2 linked regions of the Styela clava genome follow. Each later gene encodes a partner of the first gene's protein in a complex. Links are inferred from orthologs where the notes say so. Each region holds a gene or a part of one and is shown in the gene's direction. Other genes may lie near its edges.

Region 1 (7,839 bases):
TCTCCAGTTTAATTCCTTCCGAAGTCAATTCTAGCATAGTTGCGAAACATTAAGTATATTTACTCAGGTTTGGCCCTTGTTGATTGAGGACAAAACAAACTAATAAAAGACATTTTATTTAGAAAGAAATATTGAAAACATGTTGTGACATCATCTGACCTTACCTTTTAAATAGGAATTTAAATTGTGGAAATTTTAACCAAAAGATTTATCAATTTAAAAATGGATAAAAAAATGCTATTTGGAACATAAATACGATATGCTGGCATCTTACGTTGAAGATTTTGGTCTCACACAAAGTGTCATAAACTGCTGAATAAGCAAAGGCCCCACTTCAGCAGTCCCTAAGGGCGCCACAGAGTAAAAATATAGGTATTTACAGTTGGGGAGGGGGGGGGAGGACACAATGCTGGCGCAAAATTAATTTTATTTTTCATTCATAAGAAAACTCCCCATTCTTCCTAGTTTCATTGTTTGATAAGAGATTTCACAGGGTGTTTTCACTTTGTTAAGCATAAATTGCTCAAACATAATGGGATTTGGAATCTACCAATCAAAATGACATACCACTGGAATGATAAACTGAGGGACATGACTGCCATAAAATATTGAGAACCACTGCTCACTTTATTGCCAGTGCCCACAATGTCAACCTGTCCAGAGTGAAACAGAAAACATATCATGAACTAATGTAATGCATTAGAAAACATGTAAATAAGTTGTGTCAACCACAATTATGACCTACCGGTGTTTGCAACAAATAAGGCTCTGCCACAGAAAAACCAAGATAAGTTTAAAATAAATCAAAACTAGTAGTCAAGCTTGAATTCAACTTCAAATATACTTTCTAGTAGTGGTCGTTAACATTATGAAATTAAAACAAAATTAGGACAAAATCATGTTATTATGTTGTTTAAAAATATAGAGTAAATTTGATGATGACGGATTACAATAAACAGTTAGTTGAAGGAATGGTCGTATGGACCCAATTCAATTTGAATAGCATCCTCCTTAGAGGACAAATCGACATGCTGACAGTAAGCTAATAGGTTAACCAAAGAAGGAATATCTCAAGGTCAATAAGGTCATTGTTCAATAATAAGAGGAGTGCCATCATCAGAAAACGCCCAGTGATACGCCCACTTAGATATTTATAGCATAGATTTGATGATTAATAAGTGAACAGATATTGAGAATTGTGTGACGTGCTAAAAGAACATCATTGACACGCCTCCATATGAATTGTGACATTCACCACAAGATGGGATAAGATTAACATATTTATCCTGGGGGAGAGGAAAGCTGATAAGACGGCTTAATCATATGGCAAACCACATCCTCTCGTCTGATTACCAGTCCATGTCGGATATCAGATTAGTCAGTTATTTGTTTTCGGAATCATGGATTGATATTAAATAAATGGTGTTTGACTGCGGAATAGTGTTTGAAACTTTAGTGAATCTCACAGTAATTAAAGCATGACTTGAATGTGAAAAGAGAAAAGCAAAATTGCGGCAAGACTTTGTGAACAAAAAAAAAAAGATTTTAATAAAATATTATGGCTTTTTTTAAATATACTCTGAACTATCTTGTAGATAAGTTACAATATAGATGAAGTTGGATGTAGAATTTTACTATCATTAAGCTGTCGATTCCCTAAACAGATTTTACAAAAGACTAGGTGATTAAAGAAAATGAACTCGGTATATACAATGTGTCAAAGATCAGATGTGTGAGGTAATAAAATGGTAACAGCCCATTATAATTTCACACATTCTAAGTCTGGCGTCTGGCGAAAAATGTAGTCAGAAGTTTATCCATACCATTGCAAGTATGAAAAGCTATCCAAAAAATAAAACGAGTTTGACATCCTAAAAAATTGTAAGCCATCACTTACAAACTCTACAAATATTGCATTATATTATTTCCATTGTTATAAAAGGAATATTCACTTACATTGTTAAGCTCAGCTGCCATGATATAATCTTCAATCTTCTCTCGAAGAAAAGAAACATATTGAAGAGACTTGTAATCCATTGCAGTCATTTACATATCCATCTCTACAAAGAAAGAATATGAACAATCAAAAAATGATAAGGTTGTTCATACCAAAAACAAGAAATATATGATATATATTAAAAGACTTTCATAAATGGTTTATTTGGTAACAATTTAAATTCAATTAACCATACAACAAATACTGTGAATGTAAATGTAAGTTTCTCAAAAGTAAGATTGGTGCCTCTTTGTACCCTTAAATGTCATTTTAACATTGTTTGTTCATACAAGGTGTATTTTCAATGTTTTAAAACTATTGACTTAAAATGCAAGTCAAAGAATAAATAAATATAAAGCCCTATAGATAAGCCTTGAAGCCTCATTTGAAAGTACCGTATCTCAGTATCTACTATACTGCAATACAATTAGTCAATCAGAAAAGTTGATTTATCTACCAAATCTAAAATTTTGAGCAGCAATCATACACAAAGCATCAATGAATCACAGTATTATAGGTTCAAGGCACCTTGACAAATGTTGCATACACAGCACACACGAATACCTGAAATATAAAACCGTAGTGATTCCACGAAATCGAAAATATCATCTATCGAAATTAGGAAAAAAATTGTGGTTCATACCATATCCTACCATCTAAACATACCCAGTAAAGAAGTGGAGTATAATGGTATAAGACAATTTTTACTCCACAATCAGCATAAAAGACGATAAAAACAAAACAAAAAAATAAAACTTAGTCTATTACAGAATCAGAACCGTATTTTGACATCTAGCATACTGATGAATTATTCTCACCTTAGAATACGAAGAACTGAACCTTCCAGAATTGTATTGCAGTCTTCTATGCAATGCTTCCTTCTACCAGTATACTCGACAACAGTGGAATTTAATAAAGCTGCATCGCTGCAAATGTAGAAATGCCGACGAGCAAATAGAAAAACAACACCGGTGAATCGGCATTTCTCCTATTGATCTACAATTGCCAGACCTGATAATTGGAAATACTCAAAAGGAAATTAATATCTAATAAAGTAATGGAATATATGTTCATTAAACAATTTTATATATAAAAATTATTATAATATTACACTATGTATTTTTATCCTTCAATTTACACAAAATAGTAGAATAAAAATAAGTTGTTCTTTTACGAAATGAGAAGAAAATTCTGGCAACAAATCAATAACGAAAAGCTCAAGTGTGTCACCTGCTGACGATAAAAATGAGGCAAAACAACTCGCTAGAGGTCGCTAATATTTGTCGTCACGCCCCACTAATTAGCAAATTATTCCTACACGGTTAAAATAAATGTTCCCTCTCTTATTTTTTTTATAAAGTTTGGAAAAGTTGACATTAAAAAAATATTTTAAATGATATAAACAGTACGGTATACTTATTATATCATACTAAGTAAGCGTATAAAACTTACAGTATATACAAATCAGCAGAGCAAAACCACAGCCGAATTCAAAATACGTTTTGATCTTTGTGCATCATAGTGATCAACCCTGGAAACATGGATCAAACATGGAAGTAAATGAAGTTGGACATTTAGAGAAGATGGGCAAATTGGATTTAAATATTTGCCATTGTGTGTTTTGTATTGTGTATTTATATATTTTATTATGGGACGGGTAGTTTACCTAATTGCTTAGTAACTTGGAATCGTTTTCATAGTGAATTATCTTATTTGGCTCAACCATAGACTCTTGTGGAAGTTCGTTTATTGCTTTCTATACCGGTAACTAGGATAGGATAGGATTTACATATTCATCCCGGGGGAGAGGAAAGCTGATAAGACGGCTTATCCATATGGCGAACCACGGCCTCACGTCCGGTTACCATTCCAAGTCAGGTATGGGATTAGTTTTACCGTATTGTTTGTTTTCGGAAGCATGGACTTGGTGCTGGAGGAAGCCATAACCGACCAGCGGTTACATGAACCACCCAACGACGGCGAGGAGTCCAGCAATCCTCTCGCACATAACCATCCCTGCATGGGATTCGAACCCACGCAGAGTAATTAGAGGTGCGGTCACGAGCGTATTCCTAACGCTTAGCCCGTTGCTACAGGAGTGGTGACTCCTCTACGGCCCATGGGCCAGGGCCACGACCCATCTAATTGGGCCACATGGGCCGTGGCCCATAGCTTGATGGGCCGCAGCCCCATCAAGAAAAATTCAATTATTTTAACAAAATTTTCAATTTTTACCAAATTGTCAATATTCAAACCAAAAAAATATACTCCTGTAGTATGTGTACCAGGTTAGGGTTAGGACAAGAAAAATTCAGATTTTTTTACATTATAGTTCTATTATGAGTTCGGGGACTGTCTGTGTTAGCCAAGTGAATAGTTTCTTTACACAACTTGATGGGCCGCGGCCCATAGCCTGATGGGCCGAGGCCCAATTCGATGGGCCGTGGCCCCGGCCCATGGGCCGCAGAGGATTCACCACTCCCACTCGCCCGTTGAGCCACACCGCCGCGCCTCCTAGACAAGACTATTCAGCAATTTAAACTTGGCTCCTCTTGCAGTCTTGTAATATATTTTATCATCAAGTAAGTTGTGAACAAGTTTGGGGTCTACAGGTCTTAAATAGTTAACGCAAGTAAGTGCCTAAATAACAACAAACAAAAATGTGATTTGAAAATAAATGTTGTGACTGAATTTCATTCAAATTTGTTTTCAAATCCTGAGTTGTTGGCAGTGCTGCAGTGTACGTACATGTCTCTCATCCACATCTCAAGTGTGGTTTGCAGTATTTCATTTCTAAACAGTGGACAATGTAACTTGTGGCCACACTAATTAAATTTGATCTGATAAGTTTATACATCCTACTATGTTGCTTTTTATTCAAAGTTTTCTGCTACATTCCAAGTTTTAGTGCTTAGTATTTTTATTTATCATATCGATATTGAATCAATTTTTAGAAGTTTGATATCGTCGGCCAGTTCATGAAAAAGTTTGTAAACATTTTGAATTTCGCTTTGGATACATTTTCAAGTCCTGTTCCTATGTTAATTTATCGATTAACACTTTGTTAAATACTGCAGTACTGTGCAGAACTTCATGTATAATTTATTTGATTGAAATTGTCGGAATTCTAATTTATCTGTATGATAACTGGATTTTTTAAATTAAAATACTCGTCTAGTTTAATATTTAATTCAATTTGGAAGAACCATTTAATTTGGTTTTGGCGTCGCAGGATATTTAAATTTTGAACAGCCTACTATTAGCTTATTCAATAAATCATTCAAGCAAATTTATGTCACTACAGTACAGCACACTATACAAATCGAGTGACATTGTCCTGTTTCAGAGAAACCCATTTTACCGATGATCAGACAGTCCTCCTTTGGCAGACGTCTGGACATTGTTGTCCCTCAATATCGGTAAAAATGCAGTATAATGAAGTTGGCGCAAAATACTACAAAAAAGCGCAATCTAAAAACGTCATCATTGAATTTCTCTGGAAAAAATAATCCAATTTACCGAAGGGAAAAAGTTTTTTACCGTGGCATTCGAGAGTTTTTAGCGAAAAATGGCAATTTTGGTCACATGGCGGCCGCGATTAATTTAGATTACTATTGAGACAAGCATGGCGTGATATGACGCATCCGACGTGGTGCCCTCTTTTGTGAGACACATGGAGTGTATGTTTTATTGAACAAATTGGAGGGAAATTCTAGGAATTTGGATATTGTGTCGTATTGTACTACTATATTAGCGCTTCTTTTAATTGCCACATTAATGTCATTCTTTTTCTGTAATCAATACTGTAGTAATTCTTACCAAGACATTTAATAGGCCTATATAAAATAATCCAATTGATATTTCAGTAATACTTATAGAGCCATTATTTACTGTATATTGGATTTAAGTAATGTCCGACTTTTGCTGAAAATTTTCCATTCAATGAATTTTTTCTAAACAAGGGAATCAACATGTCTATTGATAGTAGACTTGAAAAAGTTTTCGACGACGCATTGAAGACAGATACAATAGTGAATGTTTTTGCTGGATTTGTTCGTTTAACTCCAGAAGACCATGACAAACGGCTCCGTGCATGCCTTTCTCAATTTCAAGAAATGACCCGAGAGATTGCGCCCGAAGATTGTGTGTCTGGTTTGTTGAATTTTTTCCATAAACAAACTGTTTTACGTCACATAAATTTTGTAGCGGACATGATCAAAATTTGTTTGAAGGATTCGATACTACCTACCAAAACAGTTCTGCAGCGTTTAATTCCTCATGAAATGTTGAAACATAATCGTCGTGTTCATTGGTGCAAAACGTTTGAAATTTTAAAGGAATATATTCATTTAATTGAATATAAAGGATGTCGTGATATTCTGCATCTAGTTCTGTTGAAGTTGAAAAATGTACCGACAACCTCTTGGTCTGAAATGACAGAACAAATGAATGCTATAATTGATGTAATTGAATACCTATTGGATCCAGAAGCTTGTCTATTACCAGGGTATTTAGCCGTTAATGAGATTCGTCAATATTCTGGGGAGGACCAACCATCCGGTCATTGGAGTCTATCAGGGAAAGTCGCGGAGTTTGTAGACAGATTTCGTGCAACGGCGACCATGGTTTCCACAACAGGACGGTCACATCTTTTGCCGGTTGTTTTTCATTTTTCTGTTCCGTTAACGACCACTTGGAAACTTGATCATGAGACTTTGAGATTCACAACGAAAGGACAACTTCCGTATGATAGAAGTTTATATCAACGCCAAACGAAGCTCTTGAGATACATTCTTGAGCAGCCGTATTCAAGAGATATGGTGTGTCATGTTCTGAATCTTCAAAAACAGCAAAAGCAAAGATGCGAAGCGTTAGAAACAGAACTGGTTGATTTAGTTGTCAGCACAATGGAACGAACTAGTGAAATCGAAAATTTAGATGAAAAGGACGATGCTTATCGTATAATACATTTACAATGGCAACATTTATCAAGTCAGGTGATCTACTTTGTTCTTTTGCAATTCGCAGTTTTCCCAAGAATGGTTGAAAATTTTTATCAGAAACTTTCATCAAGAAATGTCAAAAATGGACGTGATCATTTAATGTGGGTCTTGCTTCAATTTATTTCAGGAAGCATTCAAAAAAATCCACTCAGCGATTTTCTTCCGATTATAAAGTTGATGAATTTGTTGTATTCTGAACGTCAACCTCTTCCAGAACCTGATATAACGAAGCCGTTCAGCACACATAAGTTTGCTGCAATTTGCATTTTAATGCATTTGAACAGGAAAGCCCAGAGTGATAATCAACAACAAGAAAATGCAAGTTCTAACAGCTCTTCGGGGTCTATTAGCACCACGTCCAAAACTGCACAATTTCAACATTGTGCGATACCAGTATCATTACAAAAACACCACGAGTATTTGCAGCGTTGTTTGGAATCAAAGAACAACAGTTTGCAAGACTATGCGATCGCTCTGATATGTAACGCTTGTAGCACGACAACAGAACTTTTCAACGGACCTATTAACTCTCTAGTTGACAGTATTTATGGAGATTCGACTACGACACCTTTACCCGGAGAAAACTGCGTAGCTTTTGCTAAAACAACACCACTTTCAATGAGTCTCCTCGATTCTTTAACTGTTCACACAAAAATGAGTTTGATTCATCATATTGTGGTCAAAGTTATGAATTTGGCGCAGAATAATTCGAACGTGGCTTTGTCACCTGCAGTGGTAGAGACGTACAGTCGATTGTTGGTTTACATGGAAACGGAATCGCTTGGGGTCAAAGGTCTTATTAGTCAAGTATTTCCGAAAGTTTTACAAAATAACTCACTC
Region 2 (7,889 bases), on another chromosome or scaffold:
CGAAGCACATGTCTTTTTGGAATAAGCATCGCTTGATAGGGCCAAGTTGCCCAGTAGGGAACAATTGCCACCCAGTGCTCATTTTCTGAAATAATCCTCTCTTTGGACTCAGACTCACGCCTTGCATATTCAACCAGCATTTGATTTCCATGTTTACAATAGTAATTTTTCTGAGTTTTATCTTCAATTGCAGCTTCATTGGGTAGAAAGGAGCTCGCCCATATTTGGCAATGTGGATGAGGGTTGGAGCAACCCATGACTGATCCTTTGTTTTCGAAAACTTGCACCCAGGTATACTTTTCACCAAGCTCTTTTGATAAATCAACCCATTTATTGATGACCTCAATTACATCATTATTGCTCATTTCTGGCAAGGTAACATTTGAATGAGGGTGAAAGCACATTACTTTGCATTCACCAGATACAGGAGACATCTTAAACAAAGGGTCATTATTTTCTTCTGTTGAAAAAACTTCAGGTTGTAGAGCAGGAAAATCATTATCGAAAACATAAGTCCCTGAATACTTTGGATTTTGTTTACCATTCGATCTTATGTTGCCAGGACACAGTGGATTTTTAGGGTCGTATTCAGGAATTTCATCTAAAACTGGTTTTTCAACTTGTCCAGTCCATGGCCTCTTAAGACGATGTGGAGACACCAAAACCCATTCATCTTTCAGTGGATTATATCGAATATGTTGATGGTCATTAGGATTAAAAACAGACATAGCTCAAATATTTTTGTAATACATTGACTGCCATATACAAATTCAAAATTTGGTAAAACACATTTAGCTATACCCATTATAAGTACCGGTATAAGTTTATTTCGATTCACACTGCGACCTGTCTGTCAACTAGTCAAACGACCAATCATTGCAGAATTGAGAACTGAGAAGCATAACAATCAGATCAACGAGGATGCAGCAACTAATAAAGTCATTTTTGTGACATTGTGTACAACAAGTTATAGGTACGGTATGCTTTGGTTCACACCTAGCACATTGCTTTGCAGTTGTTCACCTCAATTAAATTATTGTTTTGCTTTAAATGTGTCTGTTGTAAACAGATCCATGATTTATGTTTTGGTGATTGGTTACACAATCAGGGTTGCCAGACCCCAGCCATCAAAAAAAGCCAAATCAAGACATAAAAAAAGCCAGAAAAAGCCAACAATTTTACTAAGTACCGTAGGCTACCCATGATTTGTCAGATTTTAAGCCCTTGGCAACGTACCGATGATGATATAGAGCCATTAGTTCATTCAGTGAGGCACACGAATAGAAAGTAAAGTTCCTATAGCCTAGCACTGTAGAAATTAAATATCGAGCGGACAGCATTATTTTACCATTCAATAAATACAATACAGGGTGCCGCATCAGAATATGATATACCTACATGTTTCTACTTAAACTTATGATATACCTTAAAAATTTCTCCCTATATCGTACTTTACTATTGAATATTTTTTACTTTTAAAATTTATAAACCATCAATTTTATTAAAAAATTATCTAACCCCCTGCCGCTCACAGGTGGACCACTGATTAGAGATGTACCGATGTATCGGATATCGGTATCGGCAATATCGGCCATGTATCGGTATCGGTTAGATTAAGGCCGATATTTCCGATATATTTAACTTTTTGATATGGTCCAAAATAGATTAGTTGGAATACTACTTTTCAATTTATTTTTTGTCTGGAGAGATTGTGAGCTATGAGCCATACATGTCCCCACCACCGTGAGAGAATATTCACGTGTTTTTAGCTATTTATCAGCCAAACTAGCTCAACTAATTTAGATATTTTCGCTGTCAAATTTTTATATTGACATTTTTAATAATACATAGTAATTATGAAGAAATATATCAACACCGCACATAACAAAAAGCAATCAGGCGCCCGGTTTTAAATCATACAGTGGAATTGGGGTCCTTATTAACGGCACATAGACCCTTGGCACAGGTATAAATTCTGACTGTTTGTCGTCAAGTACGAGTGTCATTTAGTCCGTCGACATCGATAAACTAAATTCCGACACAATTATCTCTCTACGCAAGTATTAATTTGAATTTTGTTTAATTACACAACTATTTTATAGATATATTGACATGACCGCCTATCCCTAGACTGTCTCAAAATATATGATTGCAATTGTAAAATATTATAAAATCTATTTCGTTGAAAGAGATCATGTTATTTTTACTAAAAAAACCTCCTCGACGGTTATAGGTAGGCCTTCTTTTTGTTGGTGCTGATTGATATTCTTTATTCATGTTGGCTTTGACTTGTTGCGTCGACGATTATGATTAGCCATGAAATACAATATTTGTAAAATGCTTTTAATTTGAGCGTAGGACGGCGGCACTAGAATATGTGGGTGATATTCGATATTCTTTTAAACACGAAAAACGATATTCGAAGGTCGCGATATTAACATTAAATTCAAATTTGACATCCCGGCTTATGAGTTTTCTAATTGAACACCGAGATTACTAGCGTTACTGTACAATGTATCTTAATCAGTTAAAGCAAACTCCAAACATTAATTTCATATTATGTGATATATCTTTTTTTTTCGATCTGAAATAATGTGTACTATGAACAACGCTCAAAGACCATTGTTTTAACCCGTCTGCCCTACACAGCACCCCTAATTAAGTAATAATTACATAGTATCGGAATATCGGCCTTCTTATAGTATCGGCGTATCGGCGTTTTTAGCTGGTATCGGCGACAAAAGTGGTAACGGTACATCTCTACCACTGATATCTTATTCAGTAATTTTAGCGTAGTTAATCACATCGTTATTGCAATTGCAGAATTAAACTAAAGCTCACATAAACCATATCAGGCATAATGAAAATTAAGTTATATAACTATTTTTTGGAAACAGAACGAAAACTATAAAAACGAGGCAATGTTTACAACCCTGCTTGAACATCTGTCTGAGCAGCTGCAGAAACTGCAATTATTTCTTATTGGGTATGGTTAAGAGTTAATGTAACAAACAAGGAAATCGATGCTCCAGGAAATCCTAATGTTAAGTAGCTAAGTACAAGTAATAGGCTATTGTTCAGTTGTTACACACTAAATATTGTATTTCATATGATTCTAATAATAGACACTAGAATAGACTTAAAAAACGCCAAAAAGCCAAACGGATATTCTGACGCTATACGGGTTTCAAAAAAGCCAAAAATGGCAAATTTGGCGTTAAAAAAGCGAATATGGCAACCTTTTTTTTTTTTTTTGCTAATCTTCTCTGTATCGTTCCAATTTTTTCATATGTACACTCGAAAGTAGTACCCTGTACACAACGTTATGCGCCCTCAGCCGATAAATGTTCCCGTTTTTTAGTTTTTTTTTTCGTTATTTATGCGCGTGTTATATAGGTTATATGTGGGAGAGAGATTTGTTATCACAAACAATATCAACACTATAATACATTTGAAGCAACACAAAATAAAATTTAACAATAAACAACTGGTTGATCATTATTTGTGAGGGTCAATATGCAAGACCAGTTAGGTCACCAAGGCTCCTGGGGGCTGGCCCTTGCTGTATAATGTATACGGACCTTTCCCCGATCTTTGACCCCCGAGAAATTCTATCTAAACTTCACCATTGCAATAATTTTCGGGGTTATTTTAAGAGTGCTTTTGCGAGTTGGCGCCTGTAAAATGGGGTATGTGTTTCAAACCATCATTTTGATTCAACGCATACAACAATCTGTTTTTTAAAAGTACCGGTAAAGAATTTTAGCCTAGTCTATCCACTGCTATTTCTACACTAATTTTTTATTACTGCAATTAAACTAAAACTCCTAGAAAGACAGAATGATCATTGAATTATCTGATTTATATTTAAGTTTCTGAAACACTACTGAAAACTAAAGAATAAATTTCTTTTTTTTTTTTTTTTTTTTAAACGCTCACAAATGTGTTAAATGTGATACAGTAATAATCATAGAAATAATGGGAAATAAAATTTTTACAATCATTATTATCTCAAATTGTAATCCATATTATCCGACGTAGTTTCCATTTTTCAGTATTCCAATGTTCAATAATCCATGTATAATCCGTAATATCAATTCAGTGATATCAAGATGTTTTCAAGTTAATAATACATTAGTTAAGCATTATTTGTTATACATAAAAATAGAAAAAAAAATATTAGCAACTATACATTTACTCAAAATATAATCACAGACAGTTGGTTAAAAATTCTAATTCCTTTATGAAATTTGGTAATTTTCGAACTTTTTCTATATTTCTCCGACATGTTATTGAAGTTTGTATCTGTTTTATGACTGTTTGAACGTTAGGTATCTTTTTTTGAAATATAACAGCATTTCTTTCTAACCAGATCTTATATCTTGTTATTGATATAAGTAATACTATAATGTTTTCATGAAAATCTGAAAAAAATACACTGTTCATTTGGGAAAAATCTAATAAAATGCAGGTCAAATAGTCTTCTCTTAAATTACTAATTTTCCTAATAACAGAAAAAATATAATCATATATATGTTGAGTGAATTCACATCTCAAAAATAAATGTGATATAAATTCTGGTTCTTTGCCACAGAGGGCACACAAATCATTTCCAGAAATCCACTTTATTCTTGCATGGGTTTTTAAAGGTAAAATTTCCCACATAAGAATAAATTTCGAAAACGCGAAAATGAGGGAATGTTTACGACCACGCTTGAAAACTTGTCTGAGTGAGAAAAGTGTCCGAGCGGATGCGAAACGGGAGCATTGCACGTCACTTTTTGCATCTTGCTAATTGGCCAATGGCCAATGCCACGAAGTAAACAAGAAAGTCGATGCTCGGGGAAAGTCCATGAGGAATCAATAAGACATAGCATCAGCAATGAAATACGGATCAAAATATATGAATGGGCATTTACTTATTTCAGTATTTATTGGCGCTCACCATATTCCTATTTCTGCGCGTTTTGAATCTTATCAGTGGTTTCGCCAGCGATTTTCTGTGAGTTGTTATATTTTGTGTTTGTTTTTCTGGGAATTACAAAATGATCTTATTCTTATCATTATAAAAACTATGGATTAACCACTAGTGTCTACTGTCTATTATGTGACACGGCCACTGGCATGACTTCACTACCACGCCACGATAAGGTATTACCTAATGCCATGCCTTTAAATGCTATGCTAACTATGCTAATGAATTTTGGCTTCAAGACGTTCGAATGTTGTTCTATACCTAAATATTTACGGCCTACAGGTCTAGCGTTACGGTCTTTCTCATGCGCATGGTGTACAATAAAAACGGAACTGTAACCTGGTACCGGTATAATTCGCCTGCTATTCAGGAATACAATGGCTGCGGCTCAGCAGACTGTCGGTGGATCAAGTGATGTCCAAGTCCAAAGTTCATTTCCTTTGCCACCCAAGATGGTAAGATACGGTAAAGTTTTCATTAATAAGTAAAATAAAATCATGTTATATTGCGCAAAGTTCACACTGTATTATAAAAATTTTATTATGTTTTTTTTCATCAAAATAGACCGTTCTCCAGTTCTCATTGAGAATATTTTAGCCTGTTTTGTATATAGCTATAAGTCTATGCATCCCAAACAAATAACTGGCCAACTAAACATATACCCGACATGGACTGGTGCGGTACCGGTAACCGGACGAGAGGCTGTGGTTTACCATATGATTGAGCCAACTTTCCTCTCTGAGGATGTATTTTATTTTTTGAATTCTCCTATTCCTATCTTGTTTAGTTTTGAAATTGCAAATAATTCCTCATGCATAAATTTCAGTTCATAAGCAAGTATACGGATGAGGCTGTTCAGAGGGATATTGCTCCTAAGCCTCCAGCTCTGCCTGATGGTTCTTACATGATGTTTGGACAACAATGTCATCAAGATGACCTGATCATCAGACCTTTGGAAATGCAGGTGCTAATTTTTATTATTCGAAAAGCTAGTTCAATACCTGAATACGGGAGTAGCATAATTAATATTCATACGATTATCATGGTGTTATCTATATTAAACATGCGACAACATTTGAAACCTCTAGTTCTTATGGTTGGGGCATGCTTTTTCTTCAGGTCTAATATCTCGATGCTCCATCTCAAAAAACTGCCTGGAAATAAAGGTAGTTCTTATATTTATATCATATAGCCTATATTTTATTTTCACATTAGTAACTTATTTTCTTTTTTTTTGCGTGTCATCAACGGAAAAAATGATAATCCATATGAGCCATTTTCATACAAAAAATAATTGATAATTTCATATGATAAATTATTTAGAAAAATTGCTCATTATTCTTGAAATTTGAAAGTGCATTGGTTGTCCACAGTATTGGAGAAACACCTGTTTAAGTTATATTGCTGGCTTACAATATTACAACTCTCAGGGTTAAATGATATTTCTGCACAAACTTTGCCTCTACACATTTTAATGACTATCTGAACAAGATATGGAATAACATTATAGTTATGTTTTCAGGGACTTCAACGGCTCCATCCACCTGTATATGACAGAAGAAAGGAATTGAAGAAACTCACTGTTTCTATACTCTGCAATTTTTTAGATTTGTTGGATGTTCTTGTTAGTGCTACAGAATCTGAAGCACGCGATAAGAAGATAGAAGATTTGAACATGCTTTTTATACACATACATCACCTAATAAATGAATTTCGGTACTACATATATTGTTTTTGTTATTGCATCTGCATCACAAACTTATTGGTTATTCATAGTAGTGATAAGACTAGTAATGAGAAACTGTACAAATTTGACTACAGTAACATGACTAAGTTATTTCTTTTTTGATTACAGTCCTCACCAAGCTCGCGAAACTCTTAAAGTTATGATGGAAATGCAACAAGCACAAATGCTAGACGTTGGCGAAAGGTTATGGAAACATATTGAAAAAGCTGGTGATATATTGTCAGAGTCTAGTACTCAACTTGCGACAATGCAAGCAGAGGTATGTGGTGTTTCATATAATGCCGCATGCCACGACTTGTCTTTTTTTCATGCGCCCATTTGACCATTTCTCAAAAACTTCAATGAATGGAGTGTTGCATTTTGCTCAAGGTCAACAATTTCCCATATACGGTTAACAGTTTTTTATTTCATTCAGAATCAGTCTGCAGTTGAAGCCATTGAGCTAATGCGAAACCAGGTAAGGAAATATTTCATATTGATTATTTTCTATTCTATTTCTCAGTTCACTATTCTGCCATAATTATCGTATTTCAAAGTTTCTGAGTTTTTAATAATTGTATTTTAATAAATACAAACTTTTGTGATTTCATACATTATGATGCTATTTGAGTTTTGAACTTGTCTAGATACTCAAGCTCCCAGTTCGCGTCCTTATTTACCTTAATTTTTTTTCAGGAACCTATGAATGTTGATTCCATGCTTACTGATTTATCTAGTACTGATTTATCAACATCAATATCTCAGAATGCCCAGGGTAAAAACAGTATGGACACAGAAACATCTGATATTGTGAAGGACATATTCAAAAAGGATAAAATTTTAAGCGGCTTTATCAATGACATGAATGACTGATAGCAAGATATTTACCTGGCACTAGCAATATGACAGCCCTACCCAGTTTGCAGGGTTGCTATAAGAAATGATTTGTCTGTTGGGTTTCATCGTGCGATTTCTGGAATTATGTACTCTCAATTGTGAGACTGTTAAGAAGCTATCACCTATTTGTTGCTAGCCAGACTAGAACCTGCAGCTACTTGATCATTCATGGAATTGAAATACTACGTACACTCAGATAATCTCTTAGGCATATATTTTATGTGTTCACTATACATGTATATTCTATTGTGGTCTATGCGCATTTGCAACAGATATCATGTGGCAGCATGC

What was found. Proteins that work in one complex are often made in the same cells at the same time.
Region 2: mediator of RNA polymerase II transcription subunit 23-like (region 1) and mediator of RNA polymerase II transcription subunit 7-like share a complex: the UniProt entries of both Drosophila melanogaster proteins name them as parts of the mediator complex. The link is inferred for Styela clava from reciprocal best matches to the Drosophila melanogaster genes MED23 and MED7.

The regions. Positions count from the first base shown.
Region 1 is NC_135256.1:5,125,199-5,133,037, reverse strand, and holds the start of mediator of RNA polymerase II transcription subunit 23-like, read left to right. Parts: upstream 1-4,541; 5' UTR 4,542-5,967; coding exon 5,968-7,839. UniProt on the Drosophila melanogaster protein: Component of the Mediator complex, a coactivator involved in the regulated transcription of nearly all RNA polymerase II-dependent genes.
Region 2 is NC_135263.1:12,517,289-12,525,177, reverse strand, and holds the start of mediator of RNA polymerase II transcription subunit 7-like, read left to right. Parts: upstream 1-4,795; 5' UTR 4,796-4,907; coding exon 4,908-5,002; intron 5,003-5,193; exon of another isoform or gene 5,194-5,345; coding exon 5,346-5,430; intron 5,431-5,801; coding exon 5,802-5,939; intron 5,940-6,497; coding exon 6,498-6,691; intron 6,692-6,830; coding exon 6,831-6,981; intron 6,982-7,137; coding exon 7,138-7,179; intron 7,180-7,397; coding exon 7,398-7,574; 3' UTR 7,575-7,889. Other genes in the region: galactose-1-phosphate uridylyltransferase-like, read right to left, coding at 1-728. UniProt on the Drosophila melanogaster protein: Component of the Mediator complex, a coactivator involved in the regulated transcription of nearly all RNA polymerase II-dependent genes.